2 linked regions of the Drosophila melanogaster genome follow. The protein of the gene in region 1 purifies or fractionates together with the protein of each later gene. This does not show direct contact. Each region holds a gene or a part of one and is shown in the gene's direction. Other genes may lie near its edges.

What was found. Proteins that work in one complex are often made in the same cells at the same time.
Region 2: the proteins of Ilp1 (region 1) and Sdr purify together in Drosophila melanogaster (affinity purification with western blotting, with the first as the bait; one study listed by BioGRID). This does not show direct contact.

Annotation. Positions count from the first base shown.
Region 1 is NT_037436.4:9,796,615-9,799,554, forward strand, and holds Ilp1 (Insulin-like peptide 1), read left to right. Parts: upstream 1-1,805; 5' UTR 1,806-1,819; coding exon 1,820-2,284; 3' UTR 2,285-2,436; downstream 2,437-2,940. Other genes in the region: Zasp67 (Z band alternatively spliced PDZ-motif protein 67), read right to left, coding at 814-912; CG32052 (uncharacterized protein), read left to right, coding at 2,557-2,632. UniProt on the Drosophila melanogaster protein: Possible ligand of InR/insulin-like receptor.
Region 2 is NT_033777.3:14,916,671-14,923,584, forward strand, and holds Sdr (secreted decoy of InR), read left to right. Parts: upstream 1-1,957; 5' UTR 1,958-2,207; coding exon 2,208-2,759; intron 2,760-2,837; coding exon 2,838-3,375; intron 3,376-3,433; coding exon 3,434-3,581; intron 3,582-3,642; coding exon 3,643-4,038; intron 4,039-4,101; coding exon 4,102-4,318; intron 4,319-4,370; coding exon 4,371-4,627; intron 4,628-4,697; coding exon 4,698-5,196; 3' UTR 5,197-6,413; downstream 6,414-6,914.

The DNA of each region.
Region 1 (2,940 bases):
TCAGCCAGCTTGTGAAGTTAATAATTCATTTACAATAAACTTCCATTTTTTCATGGTATGCATATCCCAAAGCACAAACATTTTATAAATTGATCGGAATTTAAAATAACCCATAGCATAATTTGTTTATGTAAAACGGTAAAAAAAAAATAACCAAAAAGTCAAAAACAATTTATGACCTCCCTTCCTTGACTCTGCGGCTTAAATTGATTTATTCGTATCGAAGGGATGGGATTTTTTAGCGCCCCTCGCATTTCGGTCATTTGTTTTATGCGCTTAGCAGTTTGCCAATTAAAAATCGCATTTGTTTCGGATTTACGACGATGCTATAGTATTGTATGTATTGTATTTTTGTTATTGTTGCTGGTTGCGAATTGTCAACACAATGTTACAAAATGCGAATTGCCAAATGCAATTTATGCACAAACAAAGGACCAACTGCCAGCGAAACACAATTAAAATTTGAATAAGTTTATTGCCGCTGCCATTATGCGGCTCATTAGCGGGAAATGTATGGCCCTGTCGATTAGATAAACAAAAGCGAGAGGAATTACTTTAATTAACTAATTTGCCAATGCAGCAAATCCGAATGGACACACACGCATCGCGGCGTTACGTAATATTGCAATCGAACAAATAAAACTGATTCGAACGTATCGTATCGAATTAATCCAATGTGATTCATCAGCTGCATAGTGAGCAATATTTTCCACTGGTCTATGAACATCCGCCAGGTGAATGGGCTGAGGTGATGCGTGGGGGGGTGGGGGTTGCAGCATATAGATTTCGTTCTTTTTTCGAATCGGGCCTAACCTTAACCACCGTCAGCGGATAATCGTAGTCCGCCCCGCCCACCAGGCGAAAGCCCCAGGGCACATTATCAAATCGGCACATCTTAATGTCGAGCACCATGTTTCCTTGATTTATTCCGACTTTTTTTGTTCGTTTCGATTTTTCCGTTTTCTATCGCGAATTTTCTTCCACTTTTTTTTTTGCTTTTTTTCTAGCTTTTCCGGCACTTTGCGGTCGGTGGGAAGAAGCGAGTGTTTCGAGTGCAGCGCTGGCAACCAACTGTTGGCATCGCCGTGCGTGCAACTCGACAATCGAGTGGCCATGGCGATGGCGATGATGGTGATCGAAGCGATTTCGCACACTGCCGCCGGAGGAGCTTCATCGAAGCATACTTTCCTCCTGGCCACGACATGCTAATGAGGCTGCCACACTGTCAGCCATCGGCCCACATACCCCTTATCCCCATGCCCCACAGATATCTGGTCGTAATCGTAATCGCAATCGACAGCAGTCAGAGCCTCTTAGCGGCAATGTAACAGGTTGGGCGAACGGGTTATGCTTTGAAGTGGGCGGATTTTTTGGCGGTGATTACACTGAAAACTATGCTCGATAAAGCTGTGTGCATCAATTCACACTTTAGAGCAAGTCCCATAAGGCTAACTCTTCTGAATATCTTAAAAATGTCTTACAAATACATTCCAAACTATTGGTATAGATAGATATAGGTAATGATACAACTGATATTTGCTAAGAAATACAATACAATACCCCAACTACCAAAACAACAGTGCATCGCTTTTCCATCCAAATTGGGGAGTAGAGCTAGAAATAGAGTTTGCATTTTTAGGGGAAAAACGGTACCTGAAACATGGGTGATCAAAGGATTTGCAGTTTGTACGCCCGTGGGGCTTGCTATGCCACTGCAATGCTAGACTGCAGAAGAGGCCATTGAACTGCATTAGCTAGCGCTTCCGATTTAGTGGTATAAATACCAGTTGCAGCCCAGAGCATTCACTGCATATCCAAGATGTTTAGCCAGCACAACGGTGCAGCAGTACATGGCCTTCGGCTCCAGTCGCTGCTCATCGCAGCCATGCTCACCGCTGCAATGGCAATGGTCACGCCGACTGGCAGTGGTCACCAGTTGCTGCCCCCCGGAAACCACAAACTCTGCGGCCCCGCACTGTCCGATGCCATGGATGTGGTGTGTCCCCATGGCTTTAATACGCTGCCAAGGAAACGTGAAAGCTTGCTGGGCAACAGCGACGACGACGAGGACACGGAGCAGGAGGTGCAGGATGATAGCAGCATGTGGCAGACACTGGACGGGGCAGGATACTCTTTTAGTCCACTGCTAACCAATCTGTACGGATCCGAGGTCCTGATCAAGATGCGTCGCCACAGGAGACACCTGACCGGTGGCGTCTACGACGAGTGCTGCGTCAAGACCTGCAGCTACTTGGAGTTAGCCATCTACTGTCTACCGAAATAGGACACTTGGCCAACACACACACATTCATTACCCAGCATGCATACACATACATACATACATACGAACACTTGAACATGGCATTCCCACATACATACTATATGTACACCCGTTCTCCTAACAGCATTCGTAATCCAATTCGTAATCACTTATTTATGCAGCACCAACTTTGACTAATGAATAAAAGTAGACAGTGCAAAAAGAAGAATTTGTGTGAGCGGCAAAGACAAGACAGTCAAAGGAAAAGTACCAAGGAGGCGTAATTCGTTGCCAGGATGCTGCTGGCTCCAATCAGCTGGCTCGGGTTCTTGTTGGCCTACTCCGGCCTGCCGGGCGCCCAGGCGCGGATTGGTAAGTATAGGGTAGAAATGGTAGAGGCAAACGGGCTGTAAAGGCGAGGTAACTTTAAGACCAAGGACTTATTTGGTATTCATAAATGCAGGGCTTAGTACGGCCTGGCTGTTTATACATAAATTGTTTAATTGGCTGACAGCAAAACGCCCACAAAGCCCTTCTTCTCCCAAACACAGCCACCCAAAAACCACCCACAATTTTCCAATAGCCATTTGCATAAGTCAGCTTTGACATTGAATGAGTTTAGCCAGGCGTTAGAGAGAAGAGCCAACTCCGGAATGCACTCATCGCATCCTAACACAATT
Region 2 (6,914 bases), on another chromosome or scaffold:
TGCTCATAGTTTGACGTGCCGCCGGAAAGGATGCTGCATTAAATTCCGCGCGTTTCACATCAGCGCAGGCTCTGCAAATTACTGCGAAAATTGATTCACAGGCGGGTGGCGGGAAAACGGAGAAAAAGAGCACATCAGCTAACGAAAAAATCATTGATAGTTATGCCTGTGTGGTTTTTTCACACGTTTACTGCGATTTTTTATGTGGGTGCAGCTGGTGATTTTGCGTGAATTTGTGCATTTTGCACTCGTTAAAAAAAGATACAGTTTATGGCAGTTTTGTTTTTAGAAATAGAAGTTGGCTTTAAGCATATTTAAAGCTAAAAATAACGTTTTATGATAAATAATAATAATAAATTACTGCCTATATTGACCATTGATGATGGTTTTATCAATTATTAACTAATTTTGAATGGATTATCGCGACGGTAACATAAATTATTATGTTTAAAATAATTTTTGGAATAGATATAATAACTAAATAATTATCCTGGGGTGAATTAGGCAGATTTTATCCGCTGTTACATATGTAATGATATATTCAAAGTACTACACTAAAGATATACCCTATAATAACAAAGTGAAAATTTGAAATTATTTCGTGCGTTTTTATGTGGTTTGCCCATTAAAATATCTAAAACAACGGGGCACAATTTTGCGCAAATTATTTATAGATTTCTATTGCTATTGTATTTAACACATAAATATATTATCTATTTTTTTGTTATTGAACAATCATTCAAGCTGCGTATTCAATTGGCATCTGACTAAATTTAGAAAATTCTTTTTCCGATTCCATTGAGCGTTACTTGCACCTTAATGAACTGCCAATTGCGCGTTGTTCAATGCTCACTACTCTACCAATTGGATTGGAGCTTTGGTTCACCCCCTCCCACCATTTTCGCTCTTATTTTCACTGTTTTTTTGCATTCACTCTAATTGAATTGTTCGCCGGTGCAATTTAATTTCTGCGCAAATGCAAAAACAAAAGGCAAAGACATGCACTCTGGGGAAAAAGGTAAAGAACGCCGGTAGGTGGCTAAGGGGAAGGTAGCTAAGGAGGAAGGGGGAAGAGGATCCAACCGGTTTGCAAATGGTTGCAAGGTCACATGGGGAGTGGGGGCGTGGCAAGGGGCTGTGGCGGTTGCAGAAGTAACAAGTGTTTTTCGGCTGACGGCAACAAGGAAACGACAATGAGAAAAACGTGAAAGGTAACAGATGCGTAAAATAATCGCTCCCCAACAAAATGAAACAGTGGCGTGCCAAGAATTTCAAAAAGGGTTTCCAGTTTTTGAATTTCATTTGTAGCTCCACAAATCGATCTATCAAAAACCGTAAAAGATCATACGAATTATCATGGTACTCTTAATCTTAATTTTAAGTTTCGTATATCACTTTTTTAATTGACTGCAAAAGGGCATTAGGGGGTTTAAATTTGATTGAGAAAACTAGAAACAAACAAATAGCAAGACCGGCAAGTATATTATTTTACGATATTGTTTTACGAAATGTTTACTTTCATTAACGTAAATATTACCAGACTGCTCCCCATCGAATCATCAGTCTTCTTCTCTCACAACAGCCACCACCTTTGATTTTCATTCTTGAGCAGTTTTTATACACCGAGTCGAAAAAATAGTTCTGGTTTTTGAAGATATTTAGATATTTATATTAGAATTGGCTCTATCAAACAATATGCTAAATATTTTATTATTGTAATAATTTTGGAAATCTGCTTAAAAGATATTTTGCTTAAGAAAAAGGTTACTAAATATGTTCGCTTTGCATACATTTTTAGGTTCTTATAAATGTCGACAAATTTGAATAGTTTTATGAACACTACACGATTTTCCGCTGGTGTAGCCGAAGGGTTTAGAGAACGAAGACGAGCGCATAAAAAAGAAATAACAGTGTGAAACAAAACCAAACAAAACAAAACAAAGTGAATGCCGAAAGAAGAGGCTAATTAAAGAGATCGAAAGCACAGAACGCTGTTCGAATCGAATGCCATCAGTCCAAATCGAATCGTTGCCGCGAACGCAGCTCTCTTCAAAAGCGGAAAAAATATTTAAAAAAATATATAGTTCAACCGATCGATCGTGCGAGAAAAACGACATTGACATTCAAGCGGGCGCGCTAATTGATCCATTGGAAGCCCCCTTAACGCCCGGGTCAAGTGCTCTCAATTGGAAGTGTCAGGTGGCAGCATGGGGCATCTGCACCCCGTTCCCAACCCCCTTCCGATCCCCATCTCGATCGCAGTTCCGTTGATACTGCTGTTTTTGGGCGCCTCATCGCCGGTTTTGGCCAGTTCCGATGATCAAACCGCCTGCGGATCGTTGGAGATAAATAAGATTGCGGACCTGCGGAAACTGCAGAACTGTACTCATGTGGTGGGTCACGTTCGACTGGCCTATGTGGATCTGACGGATGTATCCGGCAACTACAGCCTGGATTCGCTGGCCAGCAATGTGACCGAGATCAGTGACTACCTAATGGTGTATCGCTGCACGGGTCTGATCAGCCTGCAGTCGATATTCCCACGGCTGCGTATCATTCGTGGGCAGGAGCTCCTCTTTGATCAGTACTCCCTGGTGGTCTACGAGAATCGCAATCTCAGGGAGCTCGGCCTGGTGGAGTTATTGCGCATCCAGAGCGGATTCATTCGCGTCGAATCGAATCCCTTGCTGTGCTTCGTGGAAACCGTCGATTGGATATATCTAATGGGCAATGCCACTCGGCAGCACTTTTCCCTTAAAGTGAGTGAAGATATACTTGGGCATATGTTCCTTGATATTAAGCAAATATTGGATAAATAACTTTTTTATTAACCATAGCACAACAGACCGCAAAGTCAGTGCCCTTTGTGTGGTAGCCTGTCAGCGGACTTCGAGTTCATCCGGAACTCCTCGGAGCGCTGCTGGAACGTGAATACGACACAACTTCGCCCCCAACCGCCCAGACTTAAGGACTGCCCCATTGCATGTGGCCTAAACGGATGTGATAGTGCGGGCAAATGTTGTGATCACAACTGTGTAACTGGTTGCTATTCCCAAAACTGCTCCCTTTGTGCAAACTACCAGGGAAGAATGGGATGTGTCAATCAGTGTGTCGCCAGCTATGAATTAAACAAGAGGAGGTGCATCGGTCACAGGGAGTGCCGGGAATTGGGAAGGATTCCCCTGATACGCGGCTATCAGTGTGTGAAAAAGTGTCCGGGAAACCAGAAAGAGATTTTGGTCGCCAAGGGCATCATCCACTGCCAGGTGGAGTGCAACGGCGATTTTCACGTGAAGAGTGCTGCCGACCTGGAAGTTTTACAAGACTGTGTGACGATCAATGGTTCACTTACCATCGAACTCACCAATATTAAAGGTGTGTTTCATATCATATATGATATCTGTATAATTTACTTACATAATACATTTTCCAGAAAAAATTGTAGATGCCTTGGAAAATGCGTTGGCCAGTGTTAAAGAGATCACTGGGTATCTGAAGGTCATACACTCTGCACAGCTGATGTCGCTCACATTTCTTCAGAATTTGGATGCCATAAGAGGGGATAAGCTGGTGGAAAACAAGTTAGTTTGAGAGGCAAGGATTGTATTGAAATTCTAATAATATTATTTATCTCATTTTCAGATACGCCCTGTATGTAGTGAATAACTACCATTTGGAGCACATTTGGCCACCCAATCACCTGGTGATCATTCAGCGCGGTACACTATTCTTTCACCTGAATCCCCGCCTGTGCTACGAGAAAATCCATCAGCTACAGGGCTCCCTGAAAAGCGGAGAGAATATATCCGTGGCAGATGTATCCCCCAATTCGAACGGCGAACGCGTGATTTGTGGCGACGCGGTGCGCTCCCTCAATCCCAAAGTGGAGGACCTAAATTCCACTGCGGTACGCATCATCCTGGACTACATGGACTGGGAGGGTATGGAAACGCTAATAGGATATTCGTATCACTACAAGGAAGCCCCGGTGCAAAACGTGACTATGTACGATGGTCGGCATGGTTGCGGTCATGACAAGTGGGTGTGGACTCCTCGCCCTCACCAAGTTTACCTACAGTGATTCTGTTTATAATTTTCCAGCTGGCTGATGGACGTTGTGCCCAACCAGAGTCGACGTCATGTGATAAGCGGTCTGAAGCCCTACACACAGTATGCGTATTTCGTGAAGACCCTCACCAGAACCGAATATCATATTCAGATAGATGCCTACTCAAAAATCGGCTACTTCCAGACGCTACCGGATAGGCCAAGTCCTGTGCTCCGAATATATGGCAGTTCGGAAATCAGTTCCCAGATTGTAAGTACTTTTCAAAATATATCTCTCAGCTTAAAAACTTGTTCATTTCCAGCTTCTTCACTGGTGGCCACCGAGGCGTCCAAATGGAGTCATTAAAAATTATTTTGTGACCGCCGAAAAGTACAATGCTACCAAGGAAGCAAAGGACAAAAATTATGTGAATGTTGAGTTGGAAAATGCTAAAGACATCGATTGTGAGTGCGCTGGTGTACTGCCCTACTATTCAGGTCCTCAGCCAGATGACGAGGATTACTACAACAAAGAGCAAATCACCTACGAGGATGCGTTGCCCAATCTCATTTATGTTTCGTAAGACAAGAAAATATGGTTTTCTTTGAAGTTTCAATTGAAATAATATACAATATTATACCATCTATAGGCGCAATCACGACTATCGCAGAAAGGAGTTCGAAAAAGTGATTAACTATGAGCACCTGTTGTCCATAAAGAAGGATGAAGAGCCCACCAGACCGCCCACAACCACTCCTGCTCCTACAAATGCAACATTGGCTAAGGAGAGATTGGCCGCAATTAACTATGAGAATTATCGCCTGAATAGCGAGAAGAAGCAGCGGGATCTTCAGGACTTGGACCAGCACAAGTATACCATCCGACATGCCTTGCCCAAGTGCCAAAACTCCCACGCATCCGTGGTCCAGCAAGTGGAGGAAAAATGCGTGGCTGAGGAGCCCTTGAGTGGCTACGAACTTCCGGGCACCCAGCACTTTTACTGCCTCTCCCAGTTGGAGCCGGAAACCCATTACCGGATCACCATACGGGCTTGCGTCGAGGGCGTGGTCAACGGATGCTCAACTCCGGCGGAAGCTGTAATCAAGACTGCAAGCATCCAACTGGAGCGATTCATCAAGGGTGTTTAGCAGAGAATCCTCGATCGCAGACTTTCTGTATCCGCTGACAAGTGATAAATGCTAGACCCATATGACGATAGGCATGTTGAAAACTTGATGCAATATCAACCTAAATCAACGTGTTTAACATTTACTATATCTGTATTTATTGTTCTAAAAAACTTGACATAGAAGGACCGCTGGACCTCTTATTTTTCCAGACTATATATGTCGTAGTTTTACTATTTGGAATTAATTTTTTTTTTTAATATTTTTCGGTTTTTAACTTTGATTATAATTAGACTGAACAGCTTTAATGCTTTTTACTTGAATCAATTGTTAAAATGTAATGTAATGTGTAAGCCGTGTCATATGGGCCCAACTAAGTATTGTAAGTCAAGTGACTGTAGTTCCTCCAAATGTATTGTAAATGTGTAAATGCCAAACAAATCCTCGACAAGCGAGCAAATGTTTTCATCAGTGCTAATTTGACTTATCAGCTTATCAGACTTAGCCGCACGTCCTTGCAATGTGTGCCAGAGCCAGAAACCGTTCAAAGGGAAAAACCCTCACTGACAGCAGTGATTCCTGAGATCCTCAACTTGGCCCGGAAAGCGGTTACCTTTCTCTCGAGATTGGCCATGGCATAAGCCTAGGCGAAACTAACAACAGCAGGCTGCCTGGAACTTCCAACGCATGCCACTTAATATGCAAATATGCCGCAAAAGAGCTTTAAACTTTAAAACACTGACAAAAACTAGAACTAATCCCCACCATCGAAAACTGGGCGGAAAGGGACTAGGTCGAGACGATGCTTTTGCTTTCGGTGTGGAGTGGAGTCAAGTCGAGTACGTGTCATGTGTCGCCTTGTTTGTGGCCAAGTTTTCGGCGCAGCTGGAAAAGTTCCATGAAAACGTGTCCCACTCAATGGGGAAAAGCGGTTCGTGATTGACGCAGGACTAAGTATGAGCGGCGAGGGGTGAGCGGGATGCGGGAAGCTAAGGACGCTCAGAGTGCCTGCAGAGGAAAAGGATTTCAATTCTGCCGCTGACACTGACGCGCAATTTAACTACCTTAGAGGTCGCGAGTGAAGTACTCCAAAGGGGGTAACTTGGCGACTATCCCTTCGCGTACTTTGGAAGCTTCACTGCAAGAAACTCACTAGCACAAATTTAGGTCATATATAATATACTGCAATTGAAAGCCAATCAATAAAAGGTATAACATTTCATTGTCTACAATAAAATTCCCTTTAAAAATACTCAAGTTTATCATATTTGTTAGTCTAAGCTAGAGTTTCTTTTTAGTGAGCTAATACCCGCTGGCAAACCTTATTCAACCTACTGAGTGTAACTAATCTCTTTTTCAATTTTTGATGTAGCCATTTAAATCAACTGGCTGGACTTAAAGCAAAATGCTGGGCAGCTGGAAACCACTTATGCCACATCCTTTGGCGCCGTCTTTAAGTGGAGGAAGGAAGAGATATGGGGCTGTGTGTGATCTTATCCTAAACCAATTGTATTTCAATATTTCACTGTCCCCTCCTCTTCGCCCTTTGCTGTTGCACCATTTTTCGCGTTATTTCCGTTGCCATAGACGCAGTTGTAGTAGCAGCTGTAGCTGTGGTTGCAAACGTAGTCCTTGCCGTGTAGCCTCGTTATCCTTGCACTCGTTTGTTATCTATGCACTTGCCGGGCCAAGCACTTTGGGTGCGGTTCGTCGATGTCAGTGCGTCAGTTTAGCAGTTC